3 linked regions of the Daphnia pulex genome follow. The protein of the gene in region 1 purifies or fractionates together with the protein of each later gene. This does not show direct contact. Links are inferred from orthologs where the notes say so. Each region holds a gene or a part of one and is shown in the gene's direction. Other genes may lie near its edges. The genes, in order: kinesin-associated protein 3-like, kinesin-like protein KIF3A and kinesin-like protein KIF3B.

Evidence for each region.
Region 2: the proteins of kinesin-associated protein 3-like (region 1) and kinesin-like protein KIF3A purify together in Drosophila melanogaster (affinity purification with western blotting; 5 studies listed by BioGRID, with this or other methods). This does not show direct contact. The link is inferred for Daphnia pulex from reciprocal best matches to the Drosophila melanogaster genes Kap3 and Klp64D.
Region 3: the proteins of kinesin-associated protein 3-like (region 1) and kinesin-like protein KIF3B purify together in Drosophila melanogaster (affinity purification with western blotting; 4 studies listed by BioGRID, with this or other methods). This does not show direct contact. The link is inferred for Daphnia pulex from reciprocal best matches to the Drosophila melanogaster genes Kap3 and Klp68D.

What each region holds. Positions count from the first base shown.
Region 1 is NC_060025.1:2,639,380-2,642,397, reverse strand, and holds the end of kinesin-associated protein 3-like, read left to right. Parts: coding exon 1-8; intron 9-82; coding exon 83-281; intron 282-349; coding exon 350-513; 3' UTR 514-1,191; coding exon of another isoform or gene 1,192-1,278; intron 1,279-1,339; coding exon of another isoform or gene 1,340-1,491; intron 1,492-1,551; coding exon of another isoform or gene 1,552-1,762; intron 1,763-1,830; coding exon of another isoform or gene 1,831-1,971; 3' UTR 1,972-2,479; downstream 2,480-3,018. Other genes in the region: globin C, coelomic-like, read left to right, coding at 1,192-1,278, 1,340-1,491, 1,552-1,762, 1,831-1,971; N-acetylated-alpha-linked acidic dipeptidase 2-like, read right to left, coding at 2,944-3,018.
Region 2 is NC_060019.1:8,190,638-8,194,813, reverse strand, and holds the start of kinesin-like protein KIF3A, read left to right. Parts: upstream 1-1,276; 5' UTR 1,277-1,396; coding exon 1,397-1,627; intron 1,628-1,687; coding exon 1,688-1,893; intron 1,894-1,965; coding exon 1,966-2,156; intron 2,157-2,221; coding exon 2,222-2,349; intron 2,350-2,412; coding exon 2,413-2,622; intron 2,623-2,691; coding exon 2,692-2,866; intron 2,867-2,925; coding exon 2,926-3,026; intron 3,027-3,082; coding exon 3,083-3,198; intron 3,199-3,259; coding exon 3,260-3,677; intron 3,678-3,746; coding exon 3,747-3,872; intron 3,873-3,931; coding exon 3,932-4,086; intron 4,087-4,156; coding exon 4,157-4,166; 3' UTR 4,167-4,176.
Region 3 is NC_060027.1:697,210-701,578, forward strand, and holds the start of kinesin-like protein KIF3B, read left to right. Parts: upstream 1-1,568; 5' UTR 1,569-1,770; coding exon 1,771-1,847; intron 1,848-1,911; coding exon 1,912-2,013; intron 2,014-2,089; coding exon 2,090-2,350; intron 2,351-2,408; coding exon 2,409-2,561; intron 2,562-2,628; coding exon 2,629-2,792; intron 2,793-2,852; coding exon 2,853-2,984; intron 2,985-3,050; coding exon 3,051-3,418; intron 3,419-3,481; coding exon 3,482-3,679; intron 3,680-3,745; coding exon 3,746-4,204; intron 4,205-4,270; coding exon 4,271-4,369. Other genes in the region: UMP-CMP kinase-like, read right to left, coding at 242-451, 536-673, 749-895, 960-1,101, 1,173-1,195. UniProt on the Drosophila melanogaster protein: Plus-end directed microtubule motor that may be used for anterograde axonal transport and could conceivably move cargos in fly neurons different than those moved by kinesin heavy chain or other plus-end directed motors.

The sequences.
Region 1 (3,018 bases):
TGAACAAAGTCAGTATAAACAGTTCTCAGATTAAGATTGAAAAAAAAAGAACAAGGTCAATAAAGCGACGTGATTTGATTAGTTTGAAGACATCCCGGCCTCTTTTCTAGACCTCATGACCGACCAAAACCTAGAAGTTCGAAAAGTGTGCGAGAGAGGACTGATGCTGATTGCCGAGTCGGATACCAAATGGGAAGAGCGGATTAAAAATGAACGTTTCTGCTGGCACAATGCTCAGTGGCTCGAGGCCATCGCCAAAACGAACCTCTTATCGTCGCCTGGTAATAATCTTATTTCAACAAGTACCCAATCGTACCCAAACATAATCCGATTGTTGTGTTTTCATCAGGAACTGAAGATGAACACAGTATCGCTGGCAGTGTTTTAGATTTGTGCGTACGACACGCCGACCTCCTCGATCGTGCAAGTAATTCTGCATCCAGTTTCGGATCACCCGAATCCCGCATAGGATCGCCTGTCGAATCTATTGATGCTTGGGATGCGCAAATATAATAATGGGTCGCCCACCACGAGAAGAAGAAAAATAAAAACAAGAGTTTCTAGTCGTCAATCTTTTTGTTTCAATGTGCTGTGCTTTCCCCCCTCATTCTGTTCCCAAGTTCTGTGATCTACTCCTATTCAAGCTGCGTTCAACATAACGATTCCGACTACATTTTCGTGTCATTTTACTTGTATTTTTGGCTGACGAGGTGCTAATCATTTGCTTTGAATGATCTTTCAAACAAACTGCTATTTAAGAAATAGTTTTCACGCATTTTTTTTTCCATTGCTTTTTGTGTGTTTTTCGTTAGGGGGAAATGACCCAATAAAAACGATAAAAAAAATGTTGGCTTCTCGTTAAAGTTCCTCGGTTTCTGAGCACGCGACCTCCGCAACTAATCTAGATGACCCTATGGATAAGACATCCGTCGCCCTCAAATGAGATTGACGCCTTGAGGGTTTACAGCATTCGGTCGACTTTGGTTTCAATATTATCAGCCTCCGAAACTGTAGCTCAAAGCACGTAGTCCCCAGTGCCCTGTCAAAAACAGTACAGCTATGTTCATCGCGATGACTTCAAAAACAGCTTCCAATCGCGCTCGCTCTCATATCATTCCGTGAAACCCAGACCGAAGAGTTTGAGTGCAAGAGGGGAAACTGCTTAACGACTTGAAATTTCAAAAATTCAACATGCTGGTCCACTACATATTGACTGCAATATTGGTGGTCTTTCTGGAGGCTCGGCCTGGACGAGCAGAGTGTCCTCGCGGCTACAAAGTTGGTACACATATGGAAAATCTCCGCTATTGTTCTAAGCACCTACCTGTCATTCTCCCAGGCGAGTTCATCCGGTCAAAGAGATCCGTCGACAAAGTCGGAGAGCCAGAGGATCTTGGAGAATTTTCTCAACGAAAGGGATGAGGCCACGATCCGCTCCACATGGAATACTGCCAAAAAGAATGGTAACATCGGTCCCAAGACATTCCTACGGTAAGTGAAAGAAACAAATGCGATTAGTGTAAGATTGATAAAATATTTTCTGTAATCTAGTTACTTTGAATTGAAGCCTGAGGCACAGAAAATGTTTCCAGCTTTTGCGGAAGTAGACCACATGAAGCTTCCGACGAATGAAGACTTTCTCGCTCAAGCTCAGAATTGCGTATCTGGGCTCAATTCATACGTTGAACACCTTGGGAAAAACCCTAAAAATTGTCCGTTCATCGCTAAGGCAAAAGGAAAATATCATCATGAAGATCTTAAGGTATAATGTGATAATTTTGGTATACCTACTTTGGTGAACAGGAAAATTAACACTGTCTTGATAAACAGCTTCTGGGAGTGACCCTAATGGGAGTGTTGGAAGAAGAACTGGGGAAAGGATTCACTGATGAAACAAAGGAGGCGTGGAAGAAGGGACTTCGAGCGATGAATGAAGCCGTCACGAAAAGACCAAATCCGTCGAGACGTTGATCTAATATATAGATATATGTCCCAAAAAATTTAAAGTTTAATCAACCAGAGTTCCTTCGTCATAATGCATGCATATTAAGAAGAAGTATTTTGTGTTGGTAATGGTTAAGTAGAGGGCAGGAAGTGCAATTTGACATTATTATAAATAAATGTATGTATAAAATGGGGAATATTGGCAACTTACAAGGTATTGAAACATAACAAACTCGCCAAACATATAAGCACTTATTTTCAATTCATACTTTAGCGAGGAAATCAAGAGAACCAATTGCAGCAAGTGCAAACTGATTTAGAATTATTAAGTTACTAGACTACCATTTCCATGTGTTCAACAAACATCACAGCACGATTATAGGCAAGTGCTGCTGAAGTATCTGTTTTCCACTGTATACTATTGTACTTGTTGAAGCATCCTTCGTGTTCAACCTCTTTAGTTCAAATGCCAAGACTTTGTAAACAATAAATATGATATGCAAAATAAGCCAGCAAATAAATAAACTCACACATATTCACAGAGTTCCTCACAGCATGTTGCACATCCACTCACATGTTCAACCACACCACAGCACTGACGCATTTTGTATTCGGAATTTCCCCGAAATTTAAGAACGTTTTGTTTGGTATTTTAGATTTAAAATATTAAAAATCCAACCAATATTGCAGTTATCTCACTTCTCTTCTACCATGGAAACGGAACGAACTATAATATTATGTAACAAACCTTTCAAAATTTTCACGAAAATAATATCAGAGAAGCAGACGTTGTTGTCAAGTGAATTTAATTAGAATTCAATCAATCACATCATAATTAAATTAAATTAATTCACAATCCACACAAATAAAAGAAAAACAACATTTCTTTACTGTTTATTCATTGGGATAAAGTTAAAAAGGAATATGTAATACAATTTCGTCAGACTAATTTTGTATTGTGCATTTGCGCTTAATCCTGCAGGATCACAAGATCATAATCTAAAAATCTCCGTTGAGTGATCGGCCTGCCTCGCCAATTAAAAATGCAATAACAGAAAGATGGTGGCGAATTTT
Region 2 (4,176 bases), on another chromosome or scaffold:
ATTACGTAGATCTTCTTTCCCGATGACGGAACACGCGGAGGAGCTTACACGGGAAATATCGACGAGGACTTTTTTTTTAAATATTTTTCAAATGGAAAAAGAGGGTGTGGCAACAGTGAAATTGACTGGAACACACTCGAGACTTTTTTATTTTCGGGTGGGCTGTTGAGAAAAAAGTGCGGAAGGGGGAGGCAATAAATGCTCCACTCCCGCAGCAGTTTTCGGTGAGATGGACGAGTTACTAGAGTGGCTGCATTCACGCGTGTCAAACTGATCTATATTGCTCTGATGTGTACATCCTAGCTCGATGGATCCTCGCAGCAGAAGCAGCAGCAGCAGCAGCAGACTTGTTCTTTGATGTGCAGCTGCCACTGTTGGTCGACCGTGAATCGACTCTGCCGCTTTTATTCTCCAATCCCGATAACCGCTTTCCCATCTTACAGCGTTCACGTTCGTATCTCTCCGCGCATTTCTCGTGAAGTTTGGCGGAGCCCCCCGTCCCAAACACGCTTTTTCCACCTCATGAACGGCACCCGGGAAACGGCAGTCACCTGGTGAACCAAAGAGGCTCACATAGGCAACAACAGGGACCCCCCAAAAAGATAATTGTAGTACACGGGCGATGAAGGAAGAAGCTAATATAAGCTTTATAAATTACACATGTGCACAACTTAGTCACTATAATGAATAGACGACATATTCCCGTGAACGAAACTGTACTGTGAACACACACACCATGTAGTACATAACCAATCAACGGTTCGACTTGTTTCTTCTTCCGTCCCGCGATGACGACGACGATCGAGAAAACATATTAGAGAATCTGCAGTGTGCATTATTGTGTTGACATTACTTCCCTCCTCGTGCTCATCGTCCAACCCCCTCGAGCTGCAATAAACGATATCCGTTTTCCCTTCAATGTTGATTCAAGAGATTCTCTCCTATTATTAAACGGCTAATGTACTCACTCGCCGTTTGACTTGGAACTTAGGGGGACGCCAGGGAACTCATTTGACGAGATTTCCTACCCAGCAACGTCGTTTTCAACCATCAGCTCCAAAGGCGATTTGTGCTGACCGTGATTTCGGGTGAAAGAATATATACGACGACAATGTCGTTCCTTTATTTCCTCCGAGAAGACGACATCCAGCGTTCGTGATTGAACGATTTCATTCCAGGAGAATTGCCACAATATTTCGCTGTCAGATGGCGGCACCGATCAATTACTTCTGAATCTCCCATAGCAACGCAACGTCAACAGTATCGATTAATTTGTCTTCTGCTAGAATCTGGTAGAAACATGCGATTCTCAATTTCAGTGATCTAAAAGGGTGGGGTTTTGATCTCATATAGATCTCATTTGAGAATTGCACCAGTTATTTTCATGTACTGGTAAATGATGGACACCAGCTCTATATCGGAAAATGTCAAAGTTGTGGTCAGAGTGAGACCACTGAGCGAAACTGAGAAGACTGCCGGTTACAAAACCGTCGTCAAAGTTGATTCAGTTAATAATACTATTATTCTTCGAGCCCAAAACAATGGTGCTAATGGGACTGGTCAATCGTACAATGATGTGGACAGAAGCTTTGTGTTTGATTCTGTATTCGGACAAGAATCTTCTCAGGTATTGTCGGTTCTTTTTTCAGACTGAAACAATGTTCTTACTACAACATTTCCATTCTAGATGGAAGTCTACAACCATGCTGCAAGACCTCTAGTTCAGAATGTTCTGGAAGGATATAATGGCACAATATTTGCCTATGGGCAAACTGGAACAGGCAAAACATTCACCATGGAGGGCAACCCTCAAGCCCCTGAACTAAGGGGAATCATTCCAAATTCATTTGCACACATCTTTGGCCATATAGCTAAAGAATCAGAAAGAAAAAAGTGTGTAGTAGATATAGCTCAATTAAATAATCAGAACTTTTGATTTTATGAATTGGCTGGAATTTTCCACAGGTTCTTAGTTCGTGTCTCTTACCTTGAAATCTACAATGAAGAAGTCAGGGATTTACTGAGCAAGAACCAAAATGTCCATCTGGAAATCAAAGAAAGGCCCGACGTTGGCGTCTATGTCAAAGATCTGTCTACTTATGTTGTGAATAATGCCGAGGACATGGAGCGTATAATGACGATGGGAAATAAAAATAGTAAGATGCTTCCTTTTATATTTACATTGAAGATTATAATCTGTAACTTTGATCGAAACTATCAGGATCGGTGGGTGCTACCCAAATGAACATCCATTCATCGCGTTCTCACGCCATTTTCACGGTTGCCGTCGAGTGCAGCGAGAAAGGAATAGATGGAAACAGCACTCTTCATGTCGGTCGACTGAATCTGGTTTGTAACGCATCATCTTTGTTCCTCGGTTGAGAAGAATTTACGATTATTTTGTCTTGAAAGGTGGATTTGGCTGGAAGTGAACGACAGACCAAAAGTGGAGCTTCAGGTCTCCGACTGCGAGAAGCATCCAAGATCAATTGGTCATTATCTACATTGGGAAATGTAATTTCATCTTTGGCTGATGGCAAGGCCTCTCACGTTCCATACCGCAATTCCAAGCTAACTAGGCTGTTGCAAGATTCTCTTGGTGGAAACGCCAAAACCCTCATGGTATAAAACCTGAATCCTCAACACGTTCTCTCAGTTTAATAATGACACCTTGGCACTTGTTGGAGATAGTGCGCAAATATCGGACCCGCATCTTTCAACTTTGATGAAACTCTGAACACACTTCGCTATGCAAGCCGAGCCAAAAATATCCGAAACAAAGCTCGTATCAACGAGGATCCTAAGGATGCGTTGCTCAAGCAATTCCAAAGAGAGATTGAAGAGCTTCGTAGACAGTTAGAAGAAGGTTTGAATATTTAAATGAGAATTATTGTTTGTTGACGTAATCTTATCTAATCCGTACAGTTGGTAGTGCCAGTTCGGACGAAAGTGGCGAAGAAAACTACGAGCTGCGCAAAGATAAGAAACGAAAACCGCGGACGGAGAGTGAACGAGCTGCCATCAAAGTAATCCTATCGTCTATCTGATAAATATTTGGCAACTGAGAATTCATTATTTACAGGCCAAGATTGATGAGGAGCGAAGAATGGTTATGGAAAGTAGCCAACTAGCGGAGGAGGAGCGCAAAAAAGTGGCCCAAACTTTGGCGGAACAAGAGAAAGAATTGCAGACTGCTGCGTAAGTTTCAGCGTCACAGATTTTCAAATAAATCCCCTGATTCAATATCTGTGTCAAACAGGGAAGAAGAAATGCGTCTGAGACAGAAACTAGCTTCACTTGAAAGCAAAGTCATCGTAGGAGGTGAGAATTTGCTTGACAGGGTGGAACAACAGGCCAGTTTGCTAGAGGATGCGAGAAAAGAGCTTGAGAAACGAAAGGCCAAAGAAGATTTGCTGCGCCAACAGTTGCAAGAGAAAGAAGCCGAGCGGATAGATATGGAAGAGCGTTACAGCTCGTTGCAAGAAGAGGTGCAGGGTAAGACGAGAAAGCTGCGCAAAGTCTGGACGCTACTTCACTCGTCCAAGAGCGAGATTGAAGATATGAGGCAGGAACATCAGACACAAATGGAACAACTCCTCGAGGGTGTACGACAGCTCTCTAAAGAATTAAAGCTTTCTACTTTGGTCGTCGACGAATACATCCCGGCTGCGTATCAGGTATTCCTCACATTTTTGTCATCAAACTCTTGTAAGTTGTCAATGATAAAATTGCAATGTTGTCATTAGCAAATTATCGAACAACATGTCAACTGGAGTGAAGAGTACGGTGAATGGCAACTGAGAGGCGTGGCCTATGCTGGAAATAACATCAACCAGTACAATTCTCCTCGGCGATCTGCTCGCTCCACCTACGTACGTCTTATTACCAAGCTTAGCGATCTGATTTCACTAATGAATTTGGCGATCCACAGAGACCTGAACTGGATCTCAGTTACGTGTATCTCTCATATGACGACATCATTGGCTTATCTGATCCTGTTCGTCCTAAATCAGCGAAAATGAAATCTCGGTCGGCGACCAGTGCGCGCCTTACAGGAAAAGGTGCTCGCACCCCCTCAGCTCAGCGGTAAATCGATTTGTTGACCTCATTGTTCCACTCGACTTAAAAGGAACCAACTAAATCTTGTGCATTTCAGGACAAAATAAAATTTTCCTT
Region 3 (4,369 bases), on another chromosome or scaffold:
TTTAGAACTGAATATATAATATGTACTGTATAAAGTTTCCATCAATGAAGAAAAGAAATTGAAACCACAAAAGGATACACTTTGCTGCTGATTAGGTGCACTTTCTCTCCTCATTTAGATTGTTAATAAACAAACCAAAAAACACGATTGACAACCAAACGACCCAATAATTTAAAAAAAAAGGAGTTTAGAATGAAGTTATTGGAAACCAGTGGAAGTCGTCTTCATTTGAGATTAACAACTACTCAAACGCTTTTGTTACATCCTCAAATACTTGGTCGGGAGATTGGGACGCATCAATTTTTCTGACTAGACCCAGAGCATCGTAATGCTCAATGATTGCCATAGTGTCTTTGACGTATGTCTGAAACCGCTTCTTTAGACTTTCCTCGTTGTCATCCGAACGACCACTTCCGGCGGCACCTCGTTGAAGGCAACGCTCCATACACGCCTGATTGGAAATGATCATATAACACAAGTGAATAAGTTAATGTTCTTGAGTCTATGAATTAGCCTATAAACAAACAAAACATACTTCTTGGGAGCAGTCAAAGAACAAGACAAATAGCACATTTGTCTTGTCTCCCATTTCCTTCTGCCAGCCATCTAAATTGTCCTTGTTCCTTGGGAAGCCATCAATCAAAAATTTATTGTTGCCACTCTTCTTCATTGCCTGTATTATGGGATAATAAGAGCACACGCTGTTGTTACTTGTAACAAAAGAGAGGATTTTAAAAGATTAACTTACAGTGGCCAATAGGCTGCAAGTTATTTCAACTGGGACAATAGTTCCATTACGAATATGACTCTCAATTAGTTCTCCGTAAGCTGATCCTTCAGTGTTTCGTTCTTCACGAAGCAAGTCTCCAGCTGACAGATGAACATACTGGAATTTCTGCAATAAATTTAAATGGGTCAATTTTAGAAACCTCAATCGCAAGGTTGGCACACAAGCTCACCTCAACTATCTTAGCACACTGTGTCCCTTTGCCAGCTCCAGGTCCTCCCAAAACAAAAACAACGTTCGGTAATTCGGCGGACATGATCGTCTTGATGGATTTAATATTTCTAAGACCTAGATTACTGGTGACACAGGCGATTCTAGTGCAAAAAGAGGCAAAGAAACAAATCAATACACAGCAAGTATTGCATGCAGTACTGCACCTCGGTACCTTCTAGTCAGCAGACCGAACATACGTCTGTCAAGTCTGCTTGCCGGGGGTCGGTGGCGGATTAATAAACTCCTCCTCCCGGACACTACGGCACTACGTGGCCGCTGTATCGAGCTTGTACAGGGAAATCGGAATTTTACGCTTTCTGATTTTATTCTGACATCTGGTCTGGTCCCGCGTGAAAGGTAGGACTAAACAGCAACTCAACCATGCTCTCTTAATATGTTTCTTAATTCCAATCTCCCGTTTTATTTTGGACTACAATTTGATAAATTATCTATTTGATTTATTGATGACAACAATATCTATTTTAAATTGGAATCTTTGTGTTTTTATTGAAAAGGGCCTACTGATCTGATTTTGTTGTGAATTTCAGTCACCAAGCGCCGCCACTAGCAAGTTAAAAATCCGTGCCCATCGCTTAGGCAACAACAACAACAAATTCGGAAGTCGGCTTCTCCACTGACTCCATGGCGACAGCTCCTTATAAATTTGCAAAATGAATTGATTTCTTTGTGAAAAAAATTCCGGCTGGCTGTCAGGATATCCTTTCAGCTCGCATGTAGTAGACTTAGTTAGTTCGTCGCATCTTAAGAAAATGAGTGCAGAATCAGTAAAGGTGATAGTCAGGTGTAGGCCTATGAATGAAAAAGAAACATCTGAAAACTATGAGGGGTATTGTAGTATGACTGATTTTTTAATTTAAATTCTTACTATTGAAAATGTTCGTTTCTTGAAGGATTGTGAATGTGCTACCAAAGCGAGGTGCAATTGAAATCCAAGCGCCTACAAAACCACCCACTTCTAGAGAATTTACCTATGATGCTGTGTATGACTCAAAGTAAGTGTTAATTTGGGTAAAAAACATACTATTTTTCCTATTTACTAAAATATTTTTTGTATTAATTTGTGTTTAGCTCAAACCAAAAGGATCTCTATGATGAGTCTTTTAAGCCTCTAGTTGATTCGGTACTTCAGGGTTACAATGGGACAATCTTTGCTTATGGGCAGACAGGTACAGGAAAAACATTCACAATGGAAGGTGTCGCAAAAGACCCGGATAAGAGCGGTGTTATTCCACGCTCATTTGAGCACATATTCAATCATATTGCTCAGTCTCATGATCGACAATACTTGGTGAGAGCATCCTATTTGGAAATCTATAAAGAACAAATAAGGTTTGTCTTTTATACTTATATTGCCTTGAGTTTGGTAATAATTCCTGTTGAATTAAAGGGATTTGGTATCAAAAGATCCTAAGAAACGTCTTGAGTTGAAGGAGCATTCTGATACCGGAGTATTTGTAAAAGACCTTTCGTCTTTTGTTTGCAAAAGCGTTGTTGAAATCGAACATGTGATGAATGTGGGAAACGTTAATCGCTCTACTGGGTAAGCAATGACTATTAAGTTTGACGTTTTGCTGGCACAAAAACAACTTTATTATTATGTTCAATAGTGCTACCAATATGAACGAACACAGTAGCCGTTCTCATGCAATATTCATGATAACGGTAGAATCGTGTGACGTTGGTCAAGATGAAGAAAACCACATTGTGGTTGGAAAGTTAAACCTTGTCGATCTGGCTGGCAGTGAAAGACAGACAAAAACTGGAGCATCTGGTAAATTCTCATGTTGAAATTGCCCAAGGAAACTTATTGATTTTCTGTTTTTTTGTGTAGGAGAAAGACTGAAAGAAGCAAGCAAGATCAATTTATCCCTTTCAGCTTTGGGCAACGTCATATCCGCTCTAGTCGATGGCAAAAACGGGCATGTTCCCTATAGGGATTCCAAATTGACACGTCTCTTACAAGGTACCGAGCTCTTCATTCACTTCATACATAATTTCATTATCTGATGGAAAAAAACTGCCGGTTTAGATTCCCTAGGTGGTAACTCTCATACAGTGATGGTTGCCAACATAGGCCCAGCTTCGTACAACTACGAAGAGACGTTGACCACACTTCGATACGCCAATCGCGCAAAACACATTCGCAACAAACCCCAAATCAACGAAGATCCAAAAGACGCTCTCCTTCGGAGCTTTCAGCAAGAGATTGCACGATTGAAAGCCTCTCTAAGTAATAAAAAAAACAAGCCAAAAAGAAAAGGTGATGGGGGGTTGCACGACGTATCCAAATCTTCTGAAGATTGGGCTGACGATACAGAAGCTGAGCTCGAGCAGGAAAGAAAAGATATCCTCAACAATAGTAGTCTCATTGCGGAAGAGAGGGATCAACTTCTTAAGGTACTTTTTAATGCTCACTGTGCAATCATGCAATCATTTATAATCATCATATCTTGTTTCCAGACTCTGCAAACGAAACAAGAGGAGCTGCATAATAAACGCGAGAACCAAGAAAAATTGGCGTCTCGAATCGAAGCTCTCGAAAGCAAATTGTTAACTGGCCATATAGGCACAACATCCGAAAACGTAACCATCGAAGACGTCACGAAGAAGCAACAGCAAACGCTAGAAGCTCACCGCCAAGAAATTATTGAACGCGAGGTAAGATCTAGCAAACTAACATAAATGGAACTATGAACATTAATGGATATCTTTTTTGGCTTCCAGCGTCAAGAGCGAGAGATGCGCCAGAAGTTAGAAAGCCAAGACGAGGAGGTGATTGATTTCAAAGAGAATTTCAGTTCACTCCAACAAGAGATCGACTACAAAACCCGAAAGCTGCGCAAAATGTACGCTCGCTGGCAGAGCGTCAAGCAGGAAATGGGTGAACTCGGCGATGAGTTTAGTCGACAACGACGTGAATTGGAAGAAACTCAAGAAGTTCTGATGAAGGAGCTCAGACTGAAGCAGCTGATTGTCAGCCACTTTGTTCCTCCCGAATTCCGACGTCAGTTAACATCACGTCTGCGCTACGAGGAAGATGAAGAGAGATGGATGTTGAGCCCAGCAACGGAGATGCCTCTACTGCCTAGAGGTTTCGCCTCCAAGTTTGAACTGAGACCAACGTCGGATTACGAGAAACTCGCTCGTTCAGCTGAAGATTCTTCTTCTTTCGGTCGCTTTAAAGTAAGAAAAATGCTTCGTGTCGGCGTGAGAGATGGTGTTTACTAACTTCAACTTTTTGTTTTTTAGTGTGAAAATATTTTTTTGCTAAGCCTGGACATCCCCCAGCGGACCACTAAGGAATACGAAGGCCCAGAAATTTCTCCCACTTTGCAAGCGGCTCTCACT